Xenopus tropicalis: one gene and its partners. The protein of the gene in region 1 interacts with the protein of each later gene in a pairwise test. Links are inferred from orthologs where the notes say so. Each region holds a gene or a part of one and is shown in the gene's direction. Other genes may lie near its edges.

Region 1 (4,512 bases):
GCTAATGGGCAGGTCAGCAATTTTCCAAGTTGCACCATAACCCACAGATTGCCACCCTGCATCTAAGTTCTCCTCCATTTTTTTAAGACTAAACCCATTTCCAATAATGTTGTGGATGGGTTGAGTTGGTGCAGTAACATCACCAGAGGAGTGACCAGTGGACAGAGTCCCTGTTTTAAATTTTGGCTACATAATGAACAGCACTTAAGGCTCAGTTTCTCAATCCCCCAACTCACTGATCTGCCCATGGCTAATCCTGGGATAGCAGTATATTTACTACATCTAAAAATGTGATTGTTTTCTCAATTTGATTACATGTTCTTGGAATGACCGACCATACGTTTTGCCTATCTGTGGAAAAATCCTAATCTACAAGTATACAGAAGGATAATAAAGCCAAGCACCAAAAATGTGTAATTATAACTAATTACACACCTGTCCCATTGGCTGAAAAGATCTCAGATGTATCATCATACTAATTCCTTATGAACTGCTGTGCCACTAGGGGGATTTCAGCACATGTTGTACAGGGCAAGATCTAAGTACAGTATGTACCAACAGTATGAAGTATTATTGCTTCTCATACCTGTCTAAGTGACTGAAGGTTGCCTTCTGCTTCTTCCCTCTGGACCATTTCATCTTGTAGCCTAAAGCAAGATTTTCAGCTCAAAATGAGAAAGATTTGCAAACCTGGGGTAAAGATTTAATTGTAGGCTTTGTAGAGCTAACAAAATAATTTTTTTTATTTAGCACTAAGCAAACTTTGTAGGACTTTCCGCTGATTGCTTTAGCAGGGAATGGGGGATAATTTTTGGGTGATATTGTACCATCTTCTAAGCAGCTTAAAAAAGAATTGTCTACAGAGCAAATCTGTCGTTCAGCTTTTGAATTTCAGCCTTTTCGTTGGACTTCATTCTACCCCCTCCCTTCCCCCCATCATCATGCAGAGGCAGAGGGAAGGAGGAGGGGGTGGTGGCTGGGACAAAATGATGAGAGGAGAAAGGCTGAGGGTTGTGAGCACCATATAACATGCAATGGATTTTATTAAATGTAACGGAACTGCAGCCCTCTGGCTCTTGTTCATCTACCACTCCAACACTAGGTTGAGAGTTACAGTTTAAAAAAGCTCATGCTGGACACCTGAGCCAATAAGTTTTCAATGAGCAGAAGGCTGCATAAAGAAATTGTATTATTGTGCTGTGTCCTTTCTTTTGGAGCCACACATTAGATGTGAGGGATAAGAGGGACAGAATAGTGCTAAGAGAACCCAGCCCTCTACTCCTGCAAGAGATACGAAGTAACTTTCTGAGAAGATGAGCACAAAGTAGCGGATCGCTAGTCCAGCCCTGTGTGTTTCTATTGGCTAAGAACTTACAAGGGGAAACTGAGCAGCAAATCTGATAGGTTGTCTGAGGCATCTGTCATGGGAAACCCTGTTAGCTTCTGTATAAGTACCGCCCTTGGTGCCAGCTCTCTGTACTGCTCAAGTACTGGCTGGGTGAGGAGAGGGGTGCTCACATAGAAACTCAAGTGTCCAAGGAATTACAAAGGAAACCCAGAGCCTAAGCACCACAATGGCAACAACCAAGTCATCTTACAGAAGGATTTTCGGGGGAAACCCTAGGTCGAGCTCCTCTGGAAATCGCTATGTGACCTCCAGCACCAGGTATTCCCTGGGCAGTGCCATGCGCCCAGGCGCAGGCAGCAGCAGCAGCAGAGTTGTCTATTCCACATCTGCCTCCCCTGCTGTATTCAAGTCCTCCTCGGTAAGGCTGAGAAGCAGCCTTCCCCCAGCCAGGCTGGCAGACACAGTGGACTTCACCCTAGCAGATGCTGTCAACCTTGAATATAAAGCCAACAGGACCAACGAAAAGGCTGAAATGCAAGAGCTAAATGACAGATTTGCCAACTTCATCGACAAGGTGCGATTCCTGGAGCAGCAGAACAAGATCCTTGTGGCTGAGCTGGAACAGCTGAAAGGGAAGGGAACCTCACGGATAGGGGACCTCTACGAGGAGGAGATGAGGGAGCTCCGTAGACAATTAGATCAAGTGACCAACGCTAAAGACCGAGTAGAAGTAGACAGAGACAACCTGGCCGATGACCTCCAGCGACTGAGAGAAAAGTAAGAGCAAGTATAACTTTATCATAGTTACAGCTAATGGTGGATGCTTACTGATCCAATGTCCTCATTGTATTACCTAATCACTTATCAGCATCCTCCTATAGGGTAATTGTAAATAGTATGTTGTATCTATCATTCTGTATAGCCATTCCTTCTCCAACTACTTCTTAAAGACTCCTTTCAGCTTAAAACTGTGAGGGTATGCTGGGAGTTGTAGTCTAGCAATAGCTGCAGGTTCCCCGTATAGACTGGGTGTTGCCTTTTGTTTCTCCAGTATGATGTACATCCCATTAAAGTCCCAGCTGATGTGGGTTTGAATGTTTGTAGCTATGGTATGGCTAGCATATTAGTTTCCATTCAGTAGATTAAGGCAAGTGTTAATGGCAGTCTTGTGTTATGGAGAGCCTGGATGAAATGTCAGAATAGAGATATTAAAGAGATTATTAAACTACTTTATGTAAGTCAGGATGTTCATTATGCTGCTTTGCACTGAACAAGATTATACTTTGTTGTCAGATGGCTGCTTTATCAGAAATGATGGAAACCTTCAGGCTAGATTATATAATGGTCAGAAATGCAGAAGGACTATGAAAAACTGGGCATATACTTTGCCAGGGACACTGTGAAAAACTTTCCTACTCAGTGTCTGGCATTGTGCTCATTGGGATGGGTGTGGCACTCCATTCAGACTGAATGTTGCCTCCATTTTGGTCTCATTGCTAATGGAAGATGCATATTTGTAATATAAAAACATACAAATAGATGGAGCGTTGTTTATTCATTATCCAAATAGCCTTATATTGGCCTATTAACAATAAAAACCTACTAGTGGGTTGGATGTCTATATAGCATTTCCTTGGTTAAATTGTTTGGCAAGAGAAAGTTTACTGAGATCGAGTTCCTCCCTAGGCCTATTAGCCAATTGTTCTGAAAAAAAACATTTGTTTTGCAACATTACTGGCAAACTAAAGAACTTAGTCATGGCAGAACAACTATTTGAGGAAAGTAATACACACACACATACAATATATCTTCATAAATTTCCTCTTAGAGCCAAATTTATCAAGGTACTTCCTAGGTGGCGCTATAATCTAAGAAGAGTTGGAAGTTGGGCAGAAATCTCAGGCTTGGGCGGGGTTCCCTGGGTCTTTACAATATAGCACCCCAAAACCAAGCTGTGGTGATGACTCCCTCTAGATAAAACCAACCCCATCACTTGCCCATTGCAATATCATAGACTTCACTTTAGCTACTTTACTTTTAGCTGCATAGGAGATGGTACAAAATCACTCAAAAATGATTCCCCATTCTCTGCTAAAGCAATCAGCGAATGTCCTACAATGTATGCTTAGTGCTAAATAAAAGATTGTATTTTGTTAGCTCTACAAAGCCTACAATTAAATCTTTTCCCAAGGTTTACAAATCTTTCTCATTTTGAGCTGAAACTTGTTCTTACTTTAGGCTACAAGATGAAATGATCCAGAAGGAAGAAGCAGAAGGCAACCTGCAGTCATTTAGACAGGTATGAGAAGCAATACTACTTCAAACTGTTGGTATATACTGCACTTAGATCTTGCACTTACTGTACAACATGTGCTGAAATCCCCCTAGTGGTACAGCAGTTCATAAGGCATCAGTATGTTGATACATCTGAGATCTTCTCAGCCAAAATTTGGCAATGGGACAGGTGTGTAATTAGTTATGATGTTTGGTTTCTGTATTAGCATGATTCTTCTGTATATATATATATAGCTTAGGATATTTTCACAAATAGGGAAACCCTATGGTCAGTCAATTGAGAAAACAATCAAGTGTTGAAGATATAATAAATATGCTGCTATTACTAGACTAGCCAAGGGCGGATCAGTGAGTCGGGGGGGGGGGGAGGGTTTGGGTTGAGAAACTGAAGCTCAAGTGCTGTTCATTAGGTAGCAAAAATTTCAAACAGGGCCTCTGTTCATTGGTCTCCCCTCTGGTGGTGTCACTCTATCAGCTCCACCCATTATTGGAAATGGGTCTGGTCTTAAAAAAATGGATGAGAACTTAGATGCACGACGGAAATCTGTGGGTTACGTCAGGTGCGGCTTGGAAATTTTCAGACCTGCCCATCACTATCAGAGACCTTTATCAGAGACCTCTTAGCTGCTGTTGTATTACATCCGTTAACAATAAGGCTGCAATATGGGTATCCCTGTACTATTCTATAAACTAGTATATATAACCTAATTATAGACCTTCAAGTTCTACCTTTTATTCAGTTACAATTCCAGTATTCATCAAATGAGACTCTGTCTACAACAGCAGGTAGAGGACCATGAGGTGCCAAGATAATGGCAAAATAAACTTTTACTGGCTATAAAAAGTGGCAAAATCCTGTTTATAAACAT
Region 2 (3,562 bases), about 12 Mb from region 1:
CTCAAATAAAATAAAAATAAAGAAAGGGAGAAAAAGAAGAATCGTGTGCTGTATGAAAGTCATAAGCTCACAAAAGTAGATGTGGGGTCCAGGGGCACATATCCAAGCTATGCAAAAAGAGGATTAAACCCTATAAATAAATATGGCTAGGTTTGCCATATTTTGTATACGGAACTTACTCCACCAGCCAAAAGGTTTAACAGCTCTATAATAGTAATGATCCATGCCTTGTCACAGGAGAGCTCCCCATAAGATTAGAAATCACCACTCTGCGCTTGTGAATAAGAAATCAATTCAAAAACACTTAGGGGCTGATTTACTAATCCCCAAATCCGAATGGGAAAAATTCGGATTGGAAAACGAACATTTTGCGACTTTTTCGTATTTTTTTTTCGTTACGACTTTTTCATTGCCAATACAAATTTCGTGAATTGTCGCGACTTTTTCATAGCCATTATGACTTTCATGAATTGTCGCGACTTTTTCATTGCCAATACAAATTTCGTGAATTGTCGCGACTTTTTCATAGCCATTATGACTTTTGTGAATTGTCGCGACTTTTTCACTGCCAATACAAATTTCGTGAATTGTCGCGACTTTCGTATTGAGCACTCGAAAAAGTCGCAAAACACCGATCGTTACGAAAAAACGCATTCTGACGCTTTTCGGACGTTCGTGGATTAGTAAATGTGCCCCTTAGTGAGCTGCCAGATACCAAAAGATATTGGGGAAAAATTAGTTATCTCAAAAGAAAGTTATTTAGTAACATCGCTCATATAAATAATCGTGATCACAATTAATTAAAAACAAAGGAGCTCCCCATCTTGGTTTCTGTTAGTGACACTCACATGCTCTGGGTAGCTGTTGAGAAGCTGAGCTTTGGGGTTGTCATAAATTATCAAGCAGAAAATAAGGTTGCCTGTCACAGTAGCTAATGCTATAGGGCTGACTAGAAATCGGGGGTTGTTTCCACTCACTATATATATATATATATATATATATATATATATATATATATATATATATATAATGATTCACGGTTTAAATGAGTCATAGACTGAAGAACACTGTATAATATATATAAATGTGCACACTTTAAAATACTCGTAACAACTTACACACTGTTGGTCTACCTGCAAAGTCTCCAACGCAAAGCTTTACATAACAACGAGGTAAATACCATTGCTTTTCTTCGTCACCCAGAATATAGTTTCTACCATAGAGGGCTGCTGGCTTGTTAGATATTATGTGCCTTGAACTGAATTATATACTCTCGAAATCAACGCACCAGGGACGGCGCCTAAACTCCCTTTCCAGTACTCTACAATAAGAATTCGACCGTCTGGCTGGTTTTATTGACGTCATTTGCCTGCGCCGGCCATTTAATGATCACAAAGGAGTCACTCCTGTTTCGGGCTCTGTTGGCGACATGTCGGTGAATTATGCGGCTGGCTTGTCTCCCTATTCCGATAAGGGACGATGTGGGCTCCCGGAGGCATTTGATCCACCGGACGAACTGTGTCGCAAGGTAGTGGAACTAGCTGATATGATTCGGAAATCCTCCTACGTAGTATTTCACACGGGAGCCGGGATCAGTACTTCCTGCGGAATCCCAGATTTCAGGGGGCCTAATGGAGTGTGGACTCTGGAGGAGAAAGGTGTGAACCCAAAGTTTGACATCACGTTTGAATCTGCATGTCCTTCCCCTACCCACATGGCGCTGCTTCAGCTGCAGAGGGTTGGCATCCTGAAATTTTTGGTTAGCCAAAACGTAGATGGCTTGCATGTAAGATCTGGCTTCCCCAGAGAGCAGCTGGCAGAACTACATGGAAACATGTTCGTGGAGGAATGCAGCAAATGTAGCAAACAGTACGTGCGAGATCAAGTTGTAGGAACCATGGGGCTCAAACCTACTGGGAGACTCTGTGATGTGCCCAAGGTGCGAGGCCTGAGAGCTTGCAGGGGGAAGCTCAAAGACACCATTTTGGATTGGGAAGACTCACTTCCTGACAGAGACCTAAACCTAGCCGATGAAGCCTGCAGGAAAGCAGACCTGTCCATTACATTGGGGACATCACTGCAGATTAGACCCAGTGGGAACCTACCACTCCTCACCAAGCGCAAGGGTGGGAAACTAGTTATTGTAAACCTTCAGCCGACCAAGCATGACAAGCACGCGGATTTGAGAATACACGGTTATGTGGATGAAGTGATGACACAGCTCATGGAGCTTTTGGGTCACAAGATACCAGTTTGGACTGGTATGCCTACTAAAACAGAGCCAACTAATGGAAACTATAAGGAGGAAAATCATTTCTACAATGATTCAGTGCTGGGTGCTAACCCAAACCAAAAAAGAGAAGGATGCAAGGAAGAACCTAATCTCGAGCCAAAAAAGGCAAAAGTTGAGCCAGCATGTGTATGATACTGGTCTTCTTAGTTCAAAAAAGGTGCTATATTCCTTAACTTGGCTCTAACTTTGTTTTGTGCTGGACATAAGAATACCCATATTTGGATATGTATGAGCCAAACTATTTTATATAATGTTACACACAGTGCTGTATTAGCTTGTACATGTCTTCTTGACTGAGACAGGCACACACATTAGAGAAAATGTATCCGTGAGAGATGTGCCACTCAGTTTCACTAAAGTTTTCTTTTTCAGGATGTATATCTAGCAATGCATATAAAAAGACTTGATATTGTACATTCCTCTATTTTTAAAAAAAGGGAAAAAAAAACAAAAAACAGTTTACAGAACTGCCAGCCATTTCTTTAAACAGAAATAAAATACAACTTTCTCAGATGCAGCAAGATATATTTAATTGATTTTTATACCACTGCTGGCTGGTTGCATTCATAAAACCGCAGTTTAAATAAATGAATTGCCTAGCTCACATGCATGCCAAGTGACATTGCTGACCTGAACCACCTTTTTGTCCTACCCTTCTATTTACAAGGAGCTTAGGCAGGCATAAGGTACACTGCTTCGGTTTCCCTGTGCACTTGTGCAAGTGACATAACTATGCTTTACTTGTGTAACCGTGGCAAAGCATAAACCAGAAGCTTGAAGCAATAATCATGGTGTAGAGAACCCCCACTATCCTAGTGATACTCCTCCAATAACCCCCACTATCATAGTCATACTCTTCCAATCAACACCGTACCTTCATGAGCTTCCTGACACCATGCCAGTTTTAATAGATTATGCTGATTGGAGCAACATTTCAAGGAATTTATTCCAGAAAGATCCTTGTACATGTAATTCTTATGACTAGCGAAACCTCTAGAAAAACACAGCAAGTCTAGTTGATTTGACTTACCGTATTACTACAGAGATACTCTTCCTACATTTCCACTTTCTGGTATGACTTGGGATGTAGCCAGTTTGTATTTTAGCTATTAGTTCCCCTTTCCCAACTGGCTACATTTTAAAATGACATGGATACCTGTGTTTTAATTGATTTTAAAAACCAAACCAATAGAGAAGGGAATTGAATATGCGTATTTAAGATGAGTTAAAGTTGGGTAGCCTTGCGACTGGTCTACGTGTATGAGGTGT
Region 3 (3,494 bases), on another chromosome or scaffold:
TGATGAAATAATGTCAGAGCACTATCCTAATGCATCTGAACTCAGACCTGAAATGGCAATGACGAATGGAAAGCTAGCAGCAAAGATTGATGAATTTAATAGAATTGTTTTTAAGACAGAAAAGGGAAGCAAAGTTTTCCATGAGTCATTACATGACATGTACCAGCCTGCAAAGCAGGAGTCTTGCATTCACTCGCTGGATCACAGTTTGAGCACTGCTCGGACCAATATTAAACCAGATAATGAGGCTGAAATAACTGTGCAATTCTATGAAAACAGTGCAATACAGAGTGAAACTTCTACAGTCCAAAAGTTGCAAGCACATGGATCTCACAGCCGAAGTAGCTACCAAAACATGCTACAAGAGCACAACTGGACACCAAGCAATTTGTCAGGGAGACCACGATCTGCAGACTCTAGGTCCAACTATGGTGTTGTGGAAAAGCTTTTGAAGAGCTATGAAAACAAGGCTCCATATCATATTTCTAAACATGCTTTAAGGAAACGGACAAATTCAGATTTCCTTCTGACAGATGCTAACTCTGAAAAATTGACTCGTTGCTTAGAAATGCTCCAGATTGACCAAGTAACCACAAGCTTTAGTAATGATGTGTCCATTCACCGGCAACTTCGGGAAAATGCTGAAAGCATTAAGCTACCCGAGGTAAATGTAACCTTTTAAAGGGATGGTGTTTGGTTTATCAACACCATTTGTTCTTTAGGTACAGACTTCTTCAGTTCTTTAATATAGATAGTTAAATTTTAGGGATGCACCTAATCCATTATTTTTGGTTTGGTGAACCCTGAATCTTTCGTGAAAGATTCGATCAAATACCGAAATCCAATTCCTAATTTGCATATGCAAAGGCCAAATCTTTGCAGAATCTCGAACTGGATCCTGGATTTGGTGCATCCCTATTAAATATTTTTATTCATTAGTTGCCCATATTCCAGTTTCTTAAAAATACAAAACTCTTAAGGAACTGTGAACTTACACTGTAAATAATAAGAATATGGTTTAATTGTCAACTTCTGACGTCTTAGGGCAAGTTATTAGTGATGCCTGGGCCAACTGAAACCCACGGGAGGGTTTAAAAATTTGTGGGATGCGGGCCTGTTCAGGCTGAGCTCTTTTCTTCCGTCTTTCCTATCCTCAACCTTACTTTGTCCGGCCTCTGCCTCGGGTGCCTGCCCTGCACCACCCCCTTTGTGATGTGTGAAATGGGGTGGGTTGGGTGCAGGTTTATAAACAGAGGTGGGTTTCCAGGTCAGGTTGGAAGCGGAAGGGTTAGGGTCAGGTGTGGTTCAAATTACTACAAGTCATACTTCCTTAAGGCATTTAAATGTACAGTATGGAATTGTACAAATATGTAATGGAAGTAATGGAAATAGTCAACAGTTTTGAAGTGGATATTATTGTCACATTTAGGGAGCAACTTTATAATTCCAGAAACAAGTATTTTTTGATGTTGCAGTATCCTGATGAACCCGAGGGCTTACATTTTCAAAATTAATCCTAATCTAGTTGTCCTTGCTGTTAGATGATCTTACTGTTGTTATTGTCCATGCATCACAGATCTGTTTATGTAAAAATAGACATAACACATATGCGTACACTTGGCATCTTAAATACAGTCATTGGAATGTGACCCCTGCAGCGAAAAGCTGCTAAGTCACAGTTCTTGGAGCTAGAGAGCTTTGACCTTTAAACTTCATTAGAGGGTTTTTGAATTCCATAGGCATAAAGGAAGCTAAATTTAAGACTATCTGATTAATTGACCTGCGGACTAAAGTGTCAAAAAAACACTGTGTCATTCACACTGATGGCCAAATAGCTTGGATTTTCTGAAGGCCCAAGCAAGTGGATCTGGACAAGATAGAGTATGTTAGGCCACTCCCACTTTTAGATCCAATGATGCTTCATTCACAAGATCAGCAGCAGCAGATGGAATTTTTTTTAGGTCTGGTCAGATATCTTAGTGAAATATTGTCAAATATGAAAGGAGCAAAGCCAAAGCAGACATAACTGCAAAGTGCTTGTATTCACACACATGTTTTGGGTATAAAAACTTTGATAAATGCATTCTGCAGTTATATCTGCTTTGGCTTTTCTCATATTTGACATATTCAACATGTTTACACCCTTGTTAAACATGTTGAATGTGGTGGACATATCTGTTGGCTTCGTTTATTTGGGAAACAGTGCAGAATAGTAAAATTCAAACCATTCATAACTGATAATCCCATTTGTTCCTCTAAACATTTTTGGGAGGTATGTAGTTAATCAAATAAGCCTATGGTATAGGCAACAGCTAGGGAGAATACATTTGTATAGAGCTTATTATAGGGTACCTCCTTATAATGAGCTCTATACAAATGTACCTCCCATTACAGTAGGAGGTAGTATGGGCAAAAATTGATTGATTAGTGATATATTTTTCTTTTATAATAGTTGTATATGAACCCTTTAATTTAGTGTAATAACTGTTTGTATATAACAGTACTTGTCACTGCCCAGCTGTAATCTTGTAAACTTTTATTTATGTTCTAGTTGTCATTGTTGGGGACTTCTTCAAATGGAAAAGGATTTTCACGCCCTGCAAGACCAGCTAATAGAAGACCACCTTCCAGATGGGCATCTGGAAGATCCCCCTCAATGCCCCCTTCTATAAGAAGAACAGCAATTTAATAATTTCTGATATCTTCTTGTGCTAAAATAAAGGGACTAGGGATGTGTGAGGAATATTTTGGAAACTCATGAGCTAAAAGTGCATGAAGATGAAACCCACCCTTTTGAAATAGAAGACATGGTCTATATCTTAAAGTCAAGATATTGTGGACAATGCTATGCAGTATAAAGAACCATCTATTATGGTATATCCATTAGGCTTCAGAAAAGCTGACTGATGATACTGAAGGCCATTGATTGAGTATTGTGGCTAAAAGAAAGGTTTATAAGCTTGAGGATGTAGAATAATTACCAGGTTATGAAACTTTCTAACACCTGTAGCAGCACAGCAGCCATGTTATGCAATTCTAACATTTCATTAATCTGAATTTCTCGGACAATCAAACCAATCTTCAGTGTTTGGCGACCAGCAGAAACATATTTCTGTGCTTTTTTTTTCCCCCTTTATGTTACATAATTTATTGTGTATTTTCTTTATATATATATATATATATTTGTTTTGTTTTTCATAATACTAAAAACTAGATCAGTATAGTCCTGTGTTGTAAAAGATCCCTGCTGTGCAGTTGTACAGGTAATGTATGCATGTAACATGTTCCCACTGCATGCTTCAACTTAGAATGTGTGTTGTATTTTAACATAGCCAGAGTATTGTTTATTATATGTAAATTACAGGACTTAACACTTCTAATTTACTCTTGGCTTTCATTATTTGTAAAAAAAAATATCTTCGATACTTGGTACATTTTCTATATATTAGACAAATATGCTTTTTAATGAACAAACCTAATGTAATCAATTCTGT
Region 4 (4,425 bases), on another chromosome or scaffold:
ATATATATATATATATATATATACCCAGGTAATACTCAGTTTATATATATACCCAGGGTATATACCCAGGTAATACCCAGTTTATATATATACCCAGGGTATATACCCAGGTAATACCCAGTTTATATATATATATATATATATATATATACCAAAGGTATATACCCAGGTAATACCCAGTTTATATATATATATATATCCAGGGTAATACCCAGGTAATACTCAGTTTATATATATATATACCCAGGGAAATACCCAGGTAATACTCAGTTTATATATATACTCAGGGTAATACCCAGGTAATACTCAGTTTATATATATATACCCAGGGTAATACCAAGGTAATACTCAGTTTATATATATACCTAGGGTAAGACCCAGTTTATATGTATATCTACCCAGGGTAAGACCCAGTTTATATATATTCCCAGGGTAATACCGAGGTAATACTTAGTTTATATACTGTATACCCAGGGTATATACCCAGGTAATACCCAGTTTATATATATATATATATATATATACCAAAGGTATATACCCAGGTAATACCCAGTTTATATATATATATATCCAGGGTAATACCCAGGTAATACTCAGTTTATATATATATATATACCCAGGGAAATACCCAGGTAATACTCAGTTTATATATATACCCAGGGTAATACCAAGGTAATACTCAGTTTATATATATACCTAGGGTAAGACCCAGTTTATATATATACCCAGGGTAATACCGAGGTAATACTTAGTTTATATATATGCCCAGGGTAATTCCCAGGTAATACTCAGTTTATATATATACCCAGGGTAATACCCAGGTAATACTCAGTTTATATATATTCCCATAGTAATACCCAGTTTATAATACTTACCAGTGACTGCTCTGCTCAAACCCAAGTCTCACCCAGCTAAAGACCATTCTGGGTAATGTACTAAGTTGTAGCAGAGATTGCAGAATGTGTCTCTGAATAAGGTAAACAGGGCAACTTGCTGCTGGCAGGGGATGCTGGGAGTTGTAGTTGTTACACAACAGCCCATCCCTGGAACACATAGTAGTTTAGTAAATATAATACCTGCTAGCTCTCTAGTAAAATGATGACATATTATATATTTATATATAGAGTATATGTTGCTAGCACAGCTACCAGAATACTGCATTGCAGGTTTCTGAACCTAAATCTAAATATATGGGTAAAATCACCCCCTCACACTCAGACCCCTCCGGCCTGAGATGCACAGGTCCGTTTCCCAGCCAGTTCCAGGCCAGATAGGGGAGGGGGGGGGCGGCTGTGCGCGTCCCTTTGGTGGGAGGTGAGATTTCTCTCCTGGAGGGGTCCCCCTAGAGCTGAGCCAGTGAGTGCTGAGTGGGTGAGTGGCTGCTGCATCCTCGCCTCTCTGGGAAGGAATCAGCCCCCGGAACCTGCCCATCAGCAGCATCAGCACCAAGATCTGCCCCGGCTGCCGCCTTCTCTCTGCCTGCGCTTATTCCTGGCGCCGCGGTAACAATAGGATTCATTCACTAGCTCTGCGCCCCATTCACTCACCGCACCGCTGCGTTATTGTGTATGAGCATCAGCCTCCCCAGCAGCAGCAGCAGCAGCAGCAGCGATAGCGCAACCCGGGCTCAGCGGCGCAGCATGGAGAGGAGATCCAACTGGAATAAGGAGGATGATCTCCCTGTGTATCTGGCCCGGCCAGGCACCACCGCGCAGACCCCCAGAGTCAAGTATGGGGGCATGTTCGCCAATGTAGAAGGGGCCTATGAAAACAAAACCATTGATTTCGATGCGTACAGCGTGGGGAAGAAAGGGACCCGCACCCCCAGGAGCAGCAGCAGGCCGGACATGGACGGGGACAATTTCAGCGAAACAGCCAGCGATGTGAGTGAGATCTCCGGATCGGTCATCAGTTCCCCCGGGGAAAGGGAGGACAGAACCCCCGGCATTGAGATCAAGTACAGCGGAGGCAAAGAGCTGCTACAGGGCCAGCACAATGGCAAGGTACAGGGAGAGGCTTGGGGGGCAGCACCATCACTCAGGGCTATGGGGGCCACAAGCTCTATACACCTCTCCTTCTATTAACATTTGATAAACCATATTAACCCTTTTGCTGACCGAATTCCCTTGGGGTTTGGGGGGGGGGGGCAGTAACCCCCAATGAGCATATATTGCTGGAGATTTCACTTACAACTAAAAAACAGATGATACCTGTTTGCCTCTTTCATCCGCAGTAGCCATGCTGCTGGCCCTACATTGTGTGAGAGATTGGATCCTGGAGCCTAAGAGCTTACGATCTAATTCTACAATAAAAGATAGCAGGGACTTGTTCAAGGTCACCAGGAGCCCAGAAGCAATGGGGCAGCAGGGTGAGCTATAGGAGCATTCCATTGAGAAGTGACAAGATAAATAGATTGGAAATGATTATACAGTACTGGGATTGGAGCAAAAGGGTCTCAGGGGCCGGAGAAATGGAGGTTAATGGAGGTTTCTATAAAGCTAGAATTATAGAATCAAATCCAATAATTTATATTCATATATGGGAAACATATTGTTGTGTATATTGATACATTCAAGTTCACAGGTGAGAGTTTATGGGTGCTGGGTGCTTATCTGTAAGTTTTCAGACTGAGTTAATGAGAGGGCAGCTCTTCAGTTGAATGGAAATGTAATGTTTCATGGACTCGCTGCATGTCATTTAGCAGTAACATGACCCATGGCAGTTATTGATAAATCATATGACTACGACTGCTTATATGTCATGTCTTTCCTTGTGTTGGGCCCAGCTGCCTGGCAAGGAAAGGGTGAGGCTGCGCTACTTTGCCTGAGTGGGTCGGTGTAACAAAGAGGAGTGGCACTGAGACTGCAAGGCCTTCCGCCTGTATCTCATCACTGGAGCTGATTCCCACCCCAACACACTTACTTACTACATGTTCATTTCCTTGACTTCGGATCAGACGTCAAGTCTGAGTTGCCAGAAAGTCATTAAAAAAATTGTAGCAATAAATAGCACAAAAATACTGTATATATTGGTTTAGCAGCCCTGGCTCCCTGTTGCAAGACTAATGTCCCTGCTTTGCAGTTGCAGTTTGTTTGACAGCTGTCTAATTGCCCAGAATTTACATTTTGACTCAAGATGTGATCAATATACAATACTTTCCTTGTGTCATTAAATGGCTGGATGGGATACAGTGTCCTGCTGACAGAACCAGTAGATACTTTCACCTTTGATCTGCCTTGTTAGATACAAGCATAGGTTAGCAGGTTGGCTCCTAGCTGGTTAGTAGGGTCTTCTCGAGCCTTGACAAAACAGGACATGTGACCTTGTAACATACTTTATACACACTCTTGCGTATATATAATAGAGCAATGACCCAGATGGAGACTGGTGAGACATTGGAGCATTTCCCATCCAAAACTATATGAAGAACTAGGATGGAACTGGCACTGTTGGGTAGGCCACAAAACTGATCCCTTAAATTGTTGTAACCACTAAGGTGGTAGTAGAAGTGTTGGAAAGTTTCAGGATAATATTGAGATAGGAGTAGACAGTGCTAATCCAGGTAGAGAAAGGTGTCAGGCTGGATATACTAATACCGGAAGGTTTTGGTTTTAGTGACAATAAGACGGTGTCAGTTAAGATGAGGATATATTTAGGACACTGGGGAAACAAACGGTGGGCCCGGCCCTTGTAGGCCCCACTGACCCAGACGAAATTCCCTCCGGAAAGCATTGGTGCTCCCCTCCAACCTTAGCCCAATTGTGGTGAAGTAAGTACAAGTAAGGTACAAGTCATGCAGACAGTTAGAGTCCAGCGCAGGTTTAAGGTAGCGATGTAGTTGATTCTAGCTTAGGTAGATTTTGCTGTGGAGATGTAGCCTGGGGAAAAGAGTGATCAACCCAATGGGTTTAGACTCAGGAAGGTTTCATTAGGTGATAAGGTTGAACTTAATGGACATGTGTCTTTTTTAATCTCATTTACTTTGTTGCTGTGTCTCTATTTTAAAATAGAAATCAAAGAACCAATTCAAACGGAAATGTTCTAATGTCAAATTCCTCGTGCCCACTGACACTGAAGGTTTGATGGATGAGGATCAAGGTTCTGGCTGGGCAGGTAGATTGTAGATAAAAAAGTTATCTCAGCAAGTAAGGATTTCTCCAAAGATATATCCCTTAGCCAAGAGAAGAAGAGGCAACTTCAGGAAATTGTAGCGATGTGTATGCCATCCCAACGGCGATTTACATTCTTGCCGGTGGGATGGCATTGCGGGGAAATTAGTCGTCTGCGGTAACGAAGATTTGTCGTGGGGCGACTAATCCCCCCATGTACCACTGCCCTAAGAGCATGAAACTGGGCTTATTTTAGCTCTTTGTCAAATGTTTACCTATGGCATAAAGACTAGGAAAATCCCTGACTGCATACATT
Region 5 (3,881 bases), on another chromosome or scaffold:
GGCATGGCCTTGTTGCCATATTGTACTTCTCTGAGGACATTGGTTTGCCAACTACGTAGCTATCGCTCAAGGAAAACTGTATTACTACTATGTTATTATAGGTGTATTTCTAATATAGCTATTAGTCTGGGCAGTTAGTCACAGTGACTTTTAAAAAACTGTCACGGAGACTAATCGCAGGAGATTTAAATGCCATAGGTTAATATGAGTCGCCACCACCAATCGTCCCGTATGTCTTCGTCCTAAGTGCAAAAACAAGTTTGAAATGGGTATACTGTACAATATGGAGTACATTTACCTGGCTGGATAAATGGGTTCTGTCGGCTGGAATGGGCAATGTGGTTGCAGTTAAATTGCAAATACACCAGAATTGTCAAATCATTGGTCATTCAAAATAATATTCTCACTGCTGCTAACCTGTATTTGGACTTTTTAGTGGACAGTGTGCTAGGGCACAAGCTTGAGAGCTGGGGTTATTTATGTTTAAATTTAACAGTGTTACAAAGCAGAGAGGAGTAGTATTTGTAGTGAGCCTGGAATAAAATAAAATCCGTGTGATCTATAAGTAACTTTGTAACATACTTTTAATTTAAATGTTTTCATTTGGTAAACACAGGGGCAGTGTGTGCACCTTCCTGCTCTGAGGAACAGGATTTGAAACGTTCAAAGAACTTTTAATGGGGTCCTCCACCGAAACACTGGCATTTTGCAGAATGAAAGAAAATATTATTTTAAGTAACTTTCCTATATACATTCACTGAAAATCTTTACATTTTTAAAGTTATTTGTAAACATAATTGCTGTCAAAGCTGGTTTGTGTTTATCCTGTTTTGTTCGCTTGGTCTGACTCTAAAACAATGGAACAACTGTCAGTTCTCTTAGGTCTTTCGATTAGATTTTATCTGCTGGCTTACAACATTATTTCATGAGTCAGAGCCAGAAGTGAAGGAAATACAGAACCAGACATGCTGCTTTTAATATCAGTTACACCTACAAATAACTTTAGCACCATTGAAAATGTATAATGAATGCATATTGTAAAGTTGCTAGAATTTTATTTCTTTCAATGTGCAAAATGTTGATTTTGAGCAGAAATCCCATGTAACACTAAGCTTCAAAAAGATCTTTGCCTGTATGTTGCCAGTAAACACAAGGCATGACATAACTCAAAGGGCAACCTGAAACAGAAAACCGGTGGCACCGTGCCACCGATTTTTATCATTTCTAGCACTTAAAAAATATAAATAAAGTGAGGATCACTGGGGTGTGCTAATGTGTTAGGCACCCCCAGGGAGTATCCTTAGACTGACTGAGTGGTGCAATTGCTGCTGCACATTACTGCCAGCTGTGCTTATGTCCCAGTGATCCTCTTCGGTGTCTGGGACGTCATACCTACTCTGACTGTAGTGCACATGTGAGCTATCCGTACAGTGCAGGGAAAAGATGGTGGCATTGCAGGAATAGCACCTGTATGAAAAAGTGCCAGCCTAAGGTCTACCATTAGTGATTATATTCGCTAGTGGGGCCTAACTCATTGGCACCCCCTGTGTCTTTTAAAGGTTCCTGCAACCATTATGATCTAATGTGAGTCTTTCTTCATGGGATTTAAGGTCTTGGAATGAAAACTTGTGTATGAGCCATATATTAAAACTACGTTTTCTCTACTCTGTTCGCAGGGTTCTCTTAAAGCAGAGAATTTTGGACTTTTTTGAGCCCCCCTCTTTTTGAGCCCCCTGAGGTCCAATCACATGGCCTGTGCTTAGCTCATCTCAGACTGGCTGGCCCCTTTTCCCAGCTTAGGAATCGTTTTGCAAAGCAATACTTTTACACAAAGCAAAAAAAACCCCTCACTTTTTGTTTGCTCTATTAAGATCCATTGATTAGCTTGGGGTGTACTGTCAAGGACTCCCCAGAAGCTGCCAGGCAGCTAGTGAAATTCGCACACCATTCGGGCTGCGTGACTACCCTGCACATCAGTTCTTTTCATACTTTTCTTTAGTGTCACTTTTGTTTTCTCTCTGGCTTATTGCTCTTTGTAGGTAACTGTATGTGCTGTGGAAGAGTTTCCAATGAGAAACCACTTCAGCTGATATTTGGTCATCAGCCTTTAAAACTACAATTGCTGGAAAAGCACCAATGCACTGGGAGATGGCGTGGTCATTTGGGGTATTTGGCATCACAACTAAACTGTGCAGAACACCCCAGAATTCACCCAATGTGCTACAGACTTGAGTTTCTCAAAATCAGTAGAGTTTGGCATGCCCATTGCAGCTCTGAAGTGGTCATAGTCCTGGATTGTTCTGTTTGGCAGTTTAAAGTGGAAAATGGAATGCAGTTGTTCCCAAACTGATATTTTTTTCTCTTTTGTCATTGGGATGAGTTTTTGGGAAAAAAATTATTGGCCAATTACATTGGCAAGATTTACGTGCTCATCAGCCAATGTGTGGCCAGTGTTAAAATATGTCCGCTAATCTCTCCTGCAGGTCTTTGACTGCCTTGCCATTTTCCCCATTGGCTAACTTTGTTGGCTGAAAGCAGTGTTCTTTATCTTTTTTTGGGGGGTAATATCTGTTTTTGAGGGAAGCAGTGCAGTTAAAGGGACACTTATTTGCTCATGAGCAAAAATTTTTAATAAAATTAGTATTCTCTGTCCTTGAGAGATAATTAAATTATCAGTCAGGCAAGATATTTAACTTTTTTGGCCACAGATCAAGGGCTTTGCTTTCCTGCCCTGCTAGGGTGCAAAGGGTTGGCAGCATTGGCGAGTGAAACTTTGGTTTGTATTAAACCAGATTCCAGCCCAGTCGGCAATCTGCAATCGTTTGGTGCAGAGGAGCCGGTCTACTCCACTCGGAGGGTGACCCGCAGCCAGCAGCAGCCCACCCCCGTGACTCCGAAAAAGTACCCACTCCGACAGACCCGTTCATCGGGATCAGAAACTGAGCAGGCGGTGGACTTTTGTGACAGAGGTACGGGGGTGCAGATGAGCTGCAATTGCTGCCGGACACATGCTCTGTCTTTCTTTCTCTCTTGTCCTAGTAGATGCACGCTGGCTGTCTCTCTAGCTTGTAAGCCTGTAGAGTAGATTTCTCTACATGTGTCAGACTTCCATGTACAAACCATGATACAAAGTTTTCTATTTCTGCTGCAGACCCTAAAAACGCAGGGTATCACGACGAGTCACCGCCTCGCACTCCAACTGGAAATGCACCGTCTTCTGAGTCTGACATTGATATTTCCAGCCCCAACGTGTCTCACGATGAGAGCATTGCCAAGGACATGTCCCTCAAGGACTCTGGAAGTGACCTTTCTCACAGGCCTAAACGAAGGCGCTTTCATGAGAGCTACAACTTTAACATGAAGTGCCCCACTCCTGGCTGCAACTCATTGGGTAACTTATTAAACCTTTCATCCCATAATTATGTTCCTCTCTTAAAATGTAATATTGAACAAAATCCATAGATAATAAAACATTTCTGCTACGTCAGTTTTGCCAGTGACTACATGCACCAACCAAATTGCCTTGCAGGCCCCTTAGTAACCTGCCTAGCGCCTGAAGTGCATAACAGGGTTTAAAGGGGACCTGTTACAATATATAAAGATTAAGTCCGCCGAGGATCAAAATGTAAAAATACAAATCTTTATTGTAATCCATTAAAAAAATCCCATGTATGCAGCCTAGTGCGTTTCATGCTAATCTAGCACTTATATATTGTAACATTTCTCTTTTTTGGCCACTAGAGGGTTGTGCCTGCAAGATGAATAATGATAATATTTAATCTAATTTATTTTGACTGAGTTTTTCCTAGTCTGGCCTTATTTTGTAATGTTTTAAGGGGACTTGTCGCCCACACATAAAAAGCAGTATAATAAAAGTCCTT
Region 6 (4,385 bases), about 36 Mb from region 1:
TACATGCTCAGTTAGTAAGACTATGAGGAATCTTCCTGCTGATTGGCTAAGATCGCACATTCCTAAGGGGGGAAGGGAGTTCTTAGCATTCTTGAGGGAGGAGGGAGCAGGAGAGGGGAGAGAGGAGAGAGCTGCGTGTGTCTGGCACAGGAAAACAAAGAGACAACAAATCCTGTATCTTTTAACAGAGAACTCAGTGCAGCGTTTCTGTGAGTGCTTATGGCTGTATTTACATAGACCTTTCTGATAAAGCTTACTTAGTTTTTACCTTTCCTTCTCCTTTAATGCTAATGTTATTAATAGGGAAAATAGCTAAAAATATAGGAAGGCCAGCATCTTTTTCGAGAAAAGGTGGCAACCCTAGTGCATACCTCCCAACTGTCCCGATTTTCGCGGGACAGTCTCTCTTTTGGCAGCTCAGCCTGCAGTCCCAGATTCTTACTGAAAAGTCCCTCATTTCCCTTTGATCTTCTGCACTGAAGCTAATTTAATTAAAAGTAGCTTTTGGCAGAGACCCCACTTAGATACATTGCACTTAGATACATTGTTTCTCACATTTAATGAAATAAGTGGGCTTTTGGCAAAGAACCCAGAAAGGTAAAGAGCCCCCCCCTGCACTGAGATACAAGTGTAACTAATAAGCTAAACAGACCTCTTGGGGGAACTGAGACTTGCAACTTAAAGGACAATTTCATCTTTTCAGCAAAACTATAACACATAAAACAAAACCCCCAGAAATGTAAACAAACTATAACCTGCCAAATGGGAGTGGTATTTAGGGGGTGTGGTCGCAAAAAAACGGGCGTGGTCACAAAGTAGCTGTGCTCTGCATTTTTTTTTGTCCCGCTTTCCATTTTCAAAATGTTGGAAGGTATGCTAGTGTAAGTCTGAGCTGGGGCGGGGAGTTTTGCCATAATCTTGAGCTCATTATTGTGTTCAGCACGCAAAAGACTTTACATATAATCATAAAAGCACGAAACAACATGCTGTTAGTTATGTACATAACATTTGAACCATATAAAGTTCGCCACACATTATTTCACCCCATGTCAAGCACTAATATTACACAAGATGGCGCTGACGCACCATTAGGAAATAGAGAAATACGCTTTCCGTTGCTTTTTTTTTTTACTACACCCAAACAACCATCTTGGCTTATAAGCAATGGACATGCCTTCAGAAAATGGCGCATAAAATAGCGATCCCTATTGGTGAGGATGCGGCTGCAAATAATTTCCACTTCCGGGGTGAAGTTAGACTGATATTTTCGTCATGGGCGAGGGGCGTATTTAGCTTTTCTGCGTTAGAGCAGGGATTCTCCTCCAGTTTATGCCATGCTAGAGCTAGATACCGGCCCCTGATAGTGAAATGGCGTGGGTACGCACCGCTTTGGAAATCCAGCAGCTTGGAGGGGAGGCAGAGGTGTTTGATGAAGATGGAGACGAGATGCGCCTTTTGCAGCGAGATTGGCAGCTGTCCATGGAGAAGAGAATTAAGGTATTCGGGAGATAGTTAGACTAACATAGCGAGTTTGGGGGCCCCTTTCTAGGCATTGCCCTATTTTACTGGTAAGTGATTTCATGTGCTCCTGGTTACCTACCCCAAGGCATACATTGAGAAGCAGGTTTTCTGGGAATTACAAGGAGGTTGGTAAAAGCGGGGCTCTGTTTTACCTCAGGGCACTGCTGTGTTATGGAGCACTCGCATCGGGGTTTCAATGTTTGTCGCAGGAATTCGGCATTTCTTCTAAACACACACATGTTCTTTCTGTGTGGCCCAAATAGCTAGTCAGTAGTAGTTCAATATAGCACACTTTATTAATTATAATCAAGAGTAATGTGCTAATAAAGTTAGTCCGTTCATTGAAGGTCAGTGGAGTTTGCCCTAATTCAAGACTAACCTACCTCATTTCTCTGCCTTGTCATTGCTTTATACACAACTTTCTTACCTGCACCCAAGCTGTGATTCGGGGAAAGTAGAATAATCACTCCCATTTCAGAACTTTATCAGTCGTTACACAAGTAACTCATTATGAAGTTACTGGTTGACCAGGTTACACTAATTCGGGGATCTTTTTGTGAGCCACAGTCAAATGTAAAAAGACTTGGAGAGCAACACAAGCATCATAAAAGTTCATGAAGGTGCCAAATAAGGGCTGTAATTGGCTATTAGGCAGCCTCTATGCACACTATCAGCTTACAGGAGACTTTATTTGGTAGTAAATCTTGTTTTTACTCAACCAAAACTTGCCCCCAAGTCAGGAATTCAAAAATCACTACCTGGTTTGAGGCCTTGGGGAGCAACGTGTTGCTCACAAGGCACTTGTTGGGGATCACTGCACTAATTAGTCCCATGTCCTACCCACCTACACATTAACCCTTTCACTGCAAGCAGATTTGGTCACAACAGAACGTTTATTGCCAGACAGTTTTTGAACATTTTGCGCTCTTTCACTTTAGAGGCCTTTTCTCAGGGTGGACTTTTAGCTTACCCAGGAAAACAATATATTTTTTTCAGGGCAATCTAAGCTTTCACAATATGCTAGAATTTTTGTGTAATGCCACTTCTATAACAATATAGGCTTCTAAATATCTATATTTAAGTGTATGTGCTTGGCAGATAGAGCCTTTTACTGCCAGCACATACAGCCTACGTGCTTGGCAGTGAAAGGGTTAAAATGGCAGGGAAAAAAATGTACCGTATCCACCAGTATATTGTCTGTTGGATATGTAGGATGCAGTAGGCATGGAGTTTTAAGTTTAAATTAATTTTAGGTTACAGATGAAAACTATTTTAACTGCTTTAATTTTGTGGAATGCTTGTTTAGTTTGAATTTCTATTCTTGTATTCGTAGGAGGGCTACGTTGATGGAATAGAGGCTGGGAAAGAAAATTCTCTACAAACAGGGTTTAATTTTGGATATAAAGTTGGAGTGAACCTGCTAAAGCATTACGGAGAGCTTAAAGGGATCTTAAGGTAAGTTGTATTGTATTTTATCTTCACTTCTCCAGTTATTTCCGACAGCTTTTCAGTCACGGGAATTACAAATGTTTAATGTGTCAAAATGCTCAGGGTGCTTTTATAAGCAGTATTAATTTTTCAGTTTTAGAGCTATTTAAGTTTTTATTAACTGCCAAAATAATAAAGTTTGTAACATCACTGCCTTCTGGTTATTTCCTGCAGTTGTACAGTCAAAGAGAGCTACCTTTTTAATAAAAAAAAAAAACAAATATTGTGCTGTTGCTTTGCTTAGGAAGGAGATGGGAAAAGGCAATTGGGGCTTCTGATCGCTTTCCTGTTTCTGTTCTGAATGTAAGGTTTGTATGTCTTTGACTGTACAATTTCAAGAACTGAGGTAGCAATATTACAAAATTCATTATATTGGCAGTTAATAAAGACTTAAATAGCGCTGAAAGATTTAACATTACATATTTTTAAGAATTGTATATATTTTTGGCAGTTCAGAAGTTTCTACACTTTTGTTATATAAGCACAAAACTGAATTATCTCATGTGAAAAAAGGGGGGCTTTTTCCCCTTTAAAGGGTTTCTTGTCACGGCTACTAAACACCAGAAAATCCCCTGCCATAGAAAATAGAGAATTGCCTCTGCTAAAACACATGTAGAGACAGTTATCAGTAAATGATCAGCATTGTCTGTTTTAGTAGCTGCAACAAGTAGCCGCTACTAGTAGCTCCGTGTGTCTTCACCCTTACAGGAAGAGCAACATTTTTTTTTTTTCTCTAATTTTGATAATTGACAGCCATGTGACTTGTGCTTCGATAAACTTCAGTCACTCTTTTAATTAAGTATTTTGCAACCTACTGCTAGCTCTTCACAAATTTGTAAAATATTTTAAATCTTAAATTGTCAATGTTGATGTTTTACTTACTGCAAACGTGATAGAAGAATGAGTACAATAGGGACAATCAGCAGAAAATTGATGTCAAAAGTTTAACTAGGGTCAGCTGACAATAAAACTTGTTGTATCATCAGGAAATGCCAGTGCTTCTAGAAAATGTATCTATGTTATCATTGTCGTTTATATAATGTACTTTGTGTGCTTGTTGCAGTGCACTCCTGGCATGGTGCCAACTTCACAAGACAAAAGATGCAGCTTCTGGAAAACTACATGAGCTTCTGACTTCATTAGATCAGTGTGAGGAACAAATTGTAAAAGATCTATCTTCCTTTTATAAAGGTGCACAACCATCTGATTTGTTGCACTGTGTGGAGGACATGGCTCTAATCAGTCATGAGCATAGATGTGAACTGAATGAGCCAGGCTCCTGCGCAGGTTCCAGGAACTGTTGCACAAGTCAGGACTCTAATGGATCATCAACATTCCGTTGCATGAATACCAACTATATCAGCGATTCAACAAAA
Region 7 (4,611 bases), on another chromosome or scaffold:
GAAATATATTTTGCTGTACAAGTGTGCAACAAATTCACCGAGCAGAACATCTACATTCTGGTGTTCTCCTCTATTTGCAAAGAGAATATCCTAAGGTGAACGGCTCCCCCTTCTGGAGCTTGATGCAGCAAGCCTGAATGCAGTAAGGTTGTGAAATGCCTATTGTAAAATGCCTATTGTAAGATTACAAATATGTAATTTATTAGACAAAGATCATGTCTTTATTAGACAAAGATCATTACAATGTTTTACAAAACATTAGTAGTGTATATGCATTTAGCAGGGTTGCAAACCAGGCCCAGGGATTCCAAACAGGCCCTGGCATTTCAAGTACACAGAGACCCAAAAAGCCCTCCACCAGCCCACTAAATAGTTACTGTCTATGGCATCTTACAGCAGCCCCTCTGAAAGGCATGTCCTTGTATGCATGCTAATTAAATCATAATGATCATAAACATTCTCAAGGCACCTCAAACAGCTCCCAACCAGAGGCGGGCCAAGCTGACCGGCCATCCTAGGCAATGCGGTCGGTCACCTCTTCCCTGCACTTTCCCCGCCCTCGTGTGTGCTTTGGCGCGCATGTGCAGTTCCATCAAGCACAGGGGGAGGTCATTGCCCCCACCGCGTAATGACAAGCGGCGGGGGCAATGACAAGGTAGCGTGGACTACGGGGTAGGCAAGAGAGGTTCCTGCCTGGCGCCCCCCAATCGTTGTGCCCTAGGCAGGTGCCTGTCTGTCTACCCCTAGTTCCGGCCCTGTTTTGACAGCTCAGCCTGCAGTCCTGGATTCTTACTGAAAAGTCCCTCATTGCCCTTTTCATTGCACTGAAGACCAAAAAAGATACAAATGTTTCTCAAACTTAATTAAAAAGTAGCTTTTGGCAGAGAGCCCAAAAAGTTAACAAGCTTCACCTGCACTGAAATACAATTGTAACTTATAAGCTAAACAGGTCTCTTGTGGGGAACTGACTTGCAGCTTAAAGGGCAATTTCAGCATTTTTTAAACAAAACTGTAATAACACATAAAACAAGACCCCAAAAAATGAAATTCACCTTGCTATGTGTGGCATTTCTTTTTGTCCCTCTTTCCATTTTCAAAATGTTGGGAGGTATAGTTCCATACTTTTGTAAATCACATAAAGTGACATAACATTAACTACAGGATATAAAATACCGTGTCAGTATGTAATACAAATATGAATTGTAAGCAAACAAGCAAAATCAAACTGTACCTATAAAATAAGTGAATAGTCTGAAAACCCGAGGAAAAAAAATGTAAATTTTATAAGGAATGGAATTCCTTTCCCTGGTCTCTTTCCTACTCAGCATTTAAACTTGAATATAATTATATTTGGTATTTATCCCTTTTGTTATTATTGTATTGACTCCTGTATGAATTCATTGCTGGAAGGTTCCCCGCATCCCACACTACAACTTCCGGCAATTTACTCACGTTACAACTACGTTTCCCAGAATGCAATACGCTATTGCGCTTCATCTTCCGGAATGCGTTGTGGTTGTATGGTGTCGGAGAGGGTCTGCTGAATGTAGTTATATTGCGGTGGGATTGCGATTTGTTTTTTAGACGTCTATACACAGCAAGAATCCTTGTGGCTTTATATATGTGAGCGTTTGTGTGCTGGTGTCTCTGTGTCAGTACCGCGGGATGGCAGCCCCTGGAGCGGAGAGTGAAAACACTGGGGCATTAGTGAAACACAAGCCTGGAGCAGGAGCTTTAGACATACAAAGAGAAGTCCCTGAGGCAGCAGAGAGCAGCAGGCCAAAGAAGAAGGTGCTGTGTGAAGAGACGTATATACAGGTAAGTCACGGGGGATACGGTGACATGAGAAGGAATGTGCTCTTGAGTGTGTTTTTGGGGACAGCTGTCAGATCAGTGCGATGTCGTAGAGTCTTTGCAGTACTGTGCCGAAAAACTGAGCACTGGCCCTATAATATTCACACGCATGGCAAGTTACCTAAACTAAATTACATGAGACGGGCAAATGCCCCTTTGACAATAGAGCAACTACTTCAACCAATAATCACAGGTTTTTTTTTAATATTAACTGTTAAATATATATTATCATAGAAGACAGTGGAGCTCAGCTATAAGCAAATGTCAGTGGTATCATCAGGCACAAAGTTCCTTCTGCAGGTGAAAATTTAATGCAACTTTCCCACCGGCCATTCACTTTATTGCCGATGGAAAGGAATTTCTTGGAGATAAGTCTCCCACTGTAGCCGAGATCTAACCATGGGCGACTAATTTCACCGTGGGCCCTTACCCTTGACCCCTACATGTTTACCCATCTGCAGTAACCCATAGCAACCAATAAGATGTTTGCTTTTAAAAGGTGATCAGTAAATGCTACCTGCTCATTGTTTACTATGGCTTACTGCACATGGGCAAACTTAGTACCTTACATAACCCCTATATAGTTTGATAATAGCCCACTGGTTCTCCTTTTAATGCATGCCACTCAAAGTTAAAGCAACATGTTATGGATGTATAAATGAAAAGAGTAATTGGAACAAGAGCCTGCTTGCTAGTTTTTGATGGGTTCCCACTACTGAGAGCAATTGTATTAAAAAAAACTCCCAAAAAAATAGGATTTAAATAGAAACCCTATATTTTCTAAAATGCTTGTACCCTTATCAGCAGATTAATGCCTAAATGAAATGCCACATTAACCCCCTAAACTTGGAATTCATAACATGAAATACAACTTTTCTTTTGTGTTTTTTTTTTAATGAGGAATATGTGGAGTGTGTGGACATCATATGCTCCGTTTTAGAGATTCAGTTTCAGTGGTTAGACAAATCTTGATTTTTATTATATAAAGTGTGATTACATAAGTAAGTCTTTGTCTAGCTTGTCTTTTGTACGGCATAGCAAACAGTATATGTGGTTTGTAAAAACCACCTTTTTGTTTTTCTCTATCTTCATGCAGAATCTTCAGAAAATCATTCAGAGAGATTTCTTCCCAGATGTTGAGAAGTTGCGGGCTCAGAAGGAATATTTGGAAGCAGAGGAATGTGGAGACCTTGAGAAGATGAGACAGATTTCCATTAAGTTTGGCTCCACCTTGGGCAAATCAGCTCAGGATACTCCACTGCCTTGTAAGTTTATATTACTAATGAGCTCATGGGGAAGATCCTGTTACTTATATATTTTATATTCATGCTACTTAATTAATGCAAATGCTGCTTGGGTTTTAAATAATGGGCTTGCCTGCTTAGAAACAACATCTAATGGGTTAATGTAATAAAATGTCTAAAATGTAGCAATTTGTAGCCGCCAATCAGTAAACAGTAATTGCTACTAGCTAATTGATTACTTTGGGTTTCGAGACAAGCTTTACACATTATTCCCATGCGAGATAGGGAGTAGCAGCCTGGCTTAAATAATTCCGAAACATTACTACATATATAAATGTAAATATTAATTGTCAGATGAGTTTGTTTTTTTAAAGACTGCAATAGGTATAGAATTTCCAAGACTGGAGCAGTGAGAAAAAGGTTTAAGGTAGGAGACAGCAATGGAAGTGGGTGGCAGTCGCATTGAAAACTTGGGAATATGTTTATTAATACCAATTTTAATTCTAGCTAAAAATATTCCCAGGTTTTTACAGTATACACTGACATATTTTAAAGATAAAATAGCTTTTTTTTTGTTTACATTATTTTGTGTTCCGGCTGTAAAACTTGGAATTTAGAGTGATAACTGGTTGCTGGGGTTTTTGTACCCTATCAATGAGGCAGAAGTTTGGAAATCAGAATGAAAGATAAAAAACTTCCCAAAATGTATTATTTAAAGAAAGTGTAATTTTATGCCTACCCTACCTTTCCAATATACATTAATATAGATTTTATTTTTAAATTAAATTAAAAGCAGCATCTTTTTATAACTTTTTGTTTTCTAGGCCTACCTTAGACTGTCAGGTTAACTGGTTCTTGAAACTGACCCTAGTGTATGTGCATACATACTAGGGATCTTATATTGTACGCTCTGCTGTGTTAGGGCGAAGACAGATGGGGTGATTAGTTGGCGTGATTTTTAAAATCCAGTCACAGCAACTAATCACCTGTTGGAAAAGTCGTGGGGACTGGTCCTGCACGGTACCATGCAAATGCAGTGAATTGTATATCTGTGCACAGAGATTATTCTTCACGAGAAGTGATGGGCAAAATAATTTGGCAGGCATGGATTTGCTGTGAATTTTCGAGTTTCGCCATTGGTGGCTTGTTTTGCGAAATGGGCGACAAAATCCGGTGCACATGGAATTTTCGCCGTTTTGTGAATCTTTTGACAGATTCGCTCATCACTATTCACGAGCGTGGTTTTCGTGCGCAGCGACTAATTGCCCCATCTGGTGTTGAGGATAATGAATTAAATAAGACTTGCCCTAAGGCTGTTTGCTGAGTCATAATACAGGTATGGGACCTATTATCCAGAATGCTCGGGACCTGGGCTTTTCCGGATAAGGGATCTTTCCGTAATTTGGATCTCCATAACTTAAGTCTGCTAAAAATCATTTAAATATTTAATAAACCCAATAGGACTGTTCTGCCTCCAATAAGGATTAATTATATCTTAGTTGGGATCAAGTAC

The links.
Region 2: the proteins of vim (region 1) and sirt6 interact in a two-hybrid assay, tested with the Homo sapiens proteins (2 studies listed by BioGRID and IntAct). The link is inferred for Xenopus tropicalis from reciprocal best matches to the Homo sapiens genes VIM and SIRT6.
Region 3: the proteins of vim (region 1) and kiaa0408 interact in binary tests that used the Homo sapiens proteins (3 or more experiments, as listed by UniProt). The link is inferred for Xenopus tropicalis from reciprocal best matches to the Homo sapiens genes VIM and KIAA0408.
Region 4: the proteins of vim (region 1) and crmp1 interact in binary tests that used the Homo sapiens proteins (3 or more experiments, as listed by UniProt). The link is inferred for Xenopus tropicalis from reciprocal best matches to the Homo sapiens genes VIM and CRMP1.
Region 5: the proteins of vim (region 1) and kat7 interact in binary tests that used the Homo sapiens proteins (3 or more experiments, as listed by UniProt). The link is inferred for Xenopus tropicalis from reciprocal best matches to the Homo sapiens genes VIM and KAT7.
Region 6: the proteins of vim (region 1) and yae1 interact in a two-hybrid assay, tested with the Homo sapiens proteins (2 studies listed by BioGRID and IntAct). The link is inferred for Xenopus tropicalis from reciprocal best matches to the Homo sapiens genes VIM and YAE1.
Region 7: the proteins of vim (region 1) and ess2 interact in a two-hybrid assay, tested with the Homo sapiens proteins (2 studies listed by BioGRID and IntAct). The link is inferred for Xenopus tropicalis from reciprocal best matches to the Homo sapiens genes VIM and ESS2.

What each region holds. Positions count from the first base shown.
Region 1 is NC_030682.2:28,584,916-28,589,427, reverse strand, and holds the start of vim (vimentin), read left to right. Parts: upstream 1-1,505; 5' UTR 1,506-1,574; coding exon 1,575-2,125; intron 2,126-3,586; coding exon 3,587-3,647; intron 3,648-4,512. UniProt on the Homo sapiens protein: Vimentins are class-III intermediate filaments found in various non-epithelial cells, especially mesenchymal cells. Vimentin is attached to the nucleus, endoplasmic reticulum, and mitochondria, either laterally or terminally.
Region 2 is NC_030682.2:40,098,996-40,102,557, reverse strand, and holds sirt6 (NAD-dependent protein deacetylase sirtuin-6), read left to right. Parts: upstream 1-1,423; 5' UTR 1,424-1,429; coding exon 1,430-2,425; 3' UTR 2,426-2,808; downstream 2,809-3,562. UniProt on the Homo sapiens protein: NAD-dependent protein deacetylase, deacylase and mono-ADP-ribosyltransferase that plays an essential role in DNA damage repair, telomere maintenance, metabolic homeostasis, inflammation, tumorigenesis and aging.
Region 3 is NC_030681.2:67,955,279-67,958,772, reverse strand, and holds the end of kiaa0408 (uncharacterized protein KIAA0408 homolog), read left to right. Parts: coding exon 1-664; intron 665-2,551; coding exon 2,552-2,689; downstream 2,690-3,494.
Region 4 is NC_030677.2:25,635,836-25,640,260, forward strand, and holds the start of crmp1 (dihydropyrimidinase-related protein 1), read left to right. Parts: upstream 1-1,377; 5' UTR 1,378-1,568; coding exon of another isoform or gene 1,569-1,640; coding exon 1,641-2,003; intron 2,004-4,425.
Region 5 is NC_030686.2:14,512,311-14,516,191, forward strand, and holds part of kat7 (histone acetyltransferase KAT7), read left to right. Parts: intron 1-2,792; coding exon of another isoform or gene 2,793-2,969; intron 2,970-3,151; coding exon 3,152-3,391; intron 3,392-3,881. UniProt on the Homo sapiens protein: Catalytic subunit of histone acetyltransferase HBO1 complexes, which specifically mediate acetylation of histone H3 at 'Lys-14' (H3K14ac), thereby regulating various processes, such as gene transcription, protein ubiquitination, immune regulation, stem cell pluripotent and self-renewal maintenance and embryonic development.
Region 6 is NC_030682.2:64,476,876-64,481,260, forward strand, and holds the start of yae1 (protein YAE1 homolog), read left to right. Parts: upstream 1-1,231; 5' UTR 1,232-1,368; coding exon 1,369-1,497; intron 1,498-2,854; coding exon 2,855-2,976; intron 2,977-4,072; coding exon 4,073-4,385. UniProt on the Homo sapiens protein: The complex LTO1:YAE1 functions as a target specific adapter that probably recruits apo-ABCE1 to the cytosolic iron-sulfur protein assembly (CIA) complex machinery. May be required for biogenesis of the large ribosomal subunit and initiation of translation.
Region 7 is NC_030677.2:153,458,983-153,463,593, reverse strand, and holds the start of ess2 (splicing factor ESS-2 homolog), read left to right. Parts: upstream 1-1,471; 5' UTR 1,472-1,665; coding exon 1,666-1,818; intron 1,819-2,950; coding exon 2,951-3,119; intron 3,120-4,611. UniProt on the Homo sapiens protein: May be involved in pre-mRNA splicing.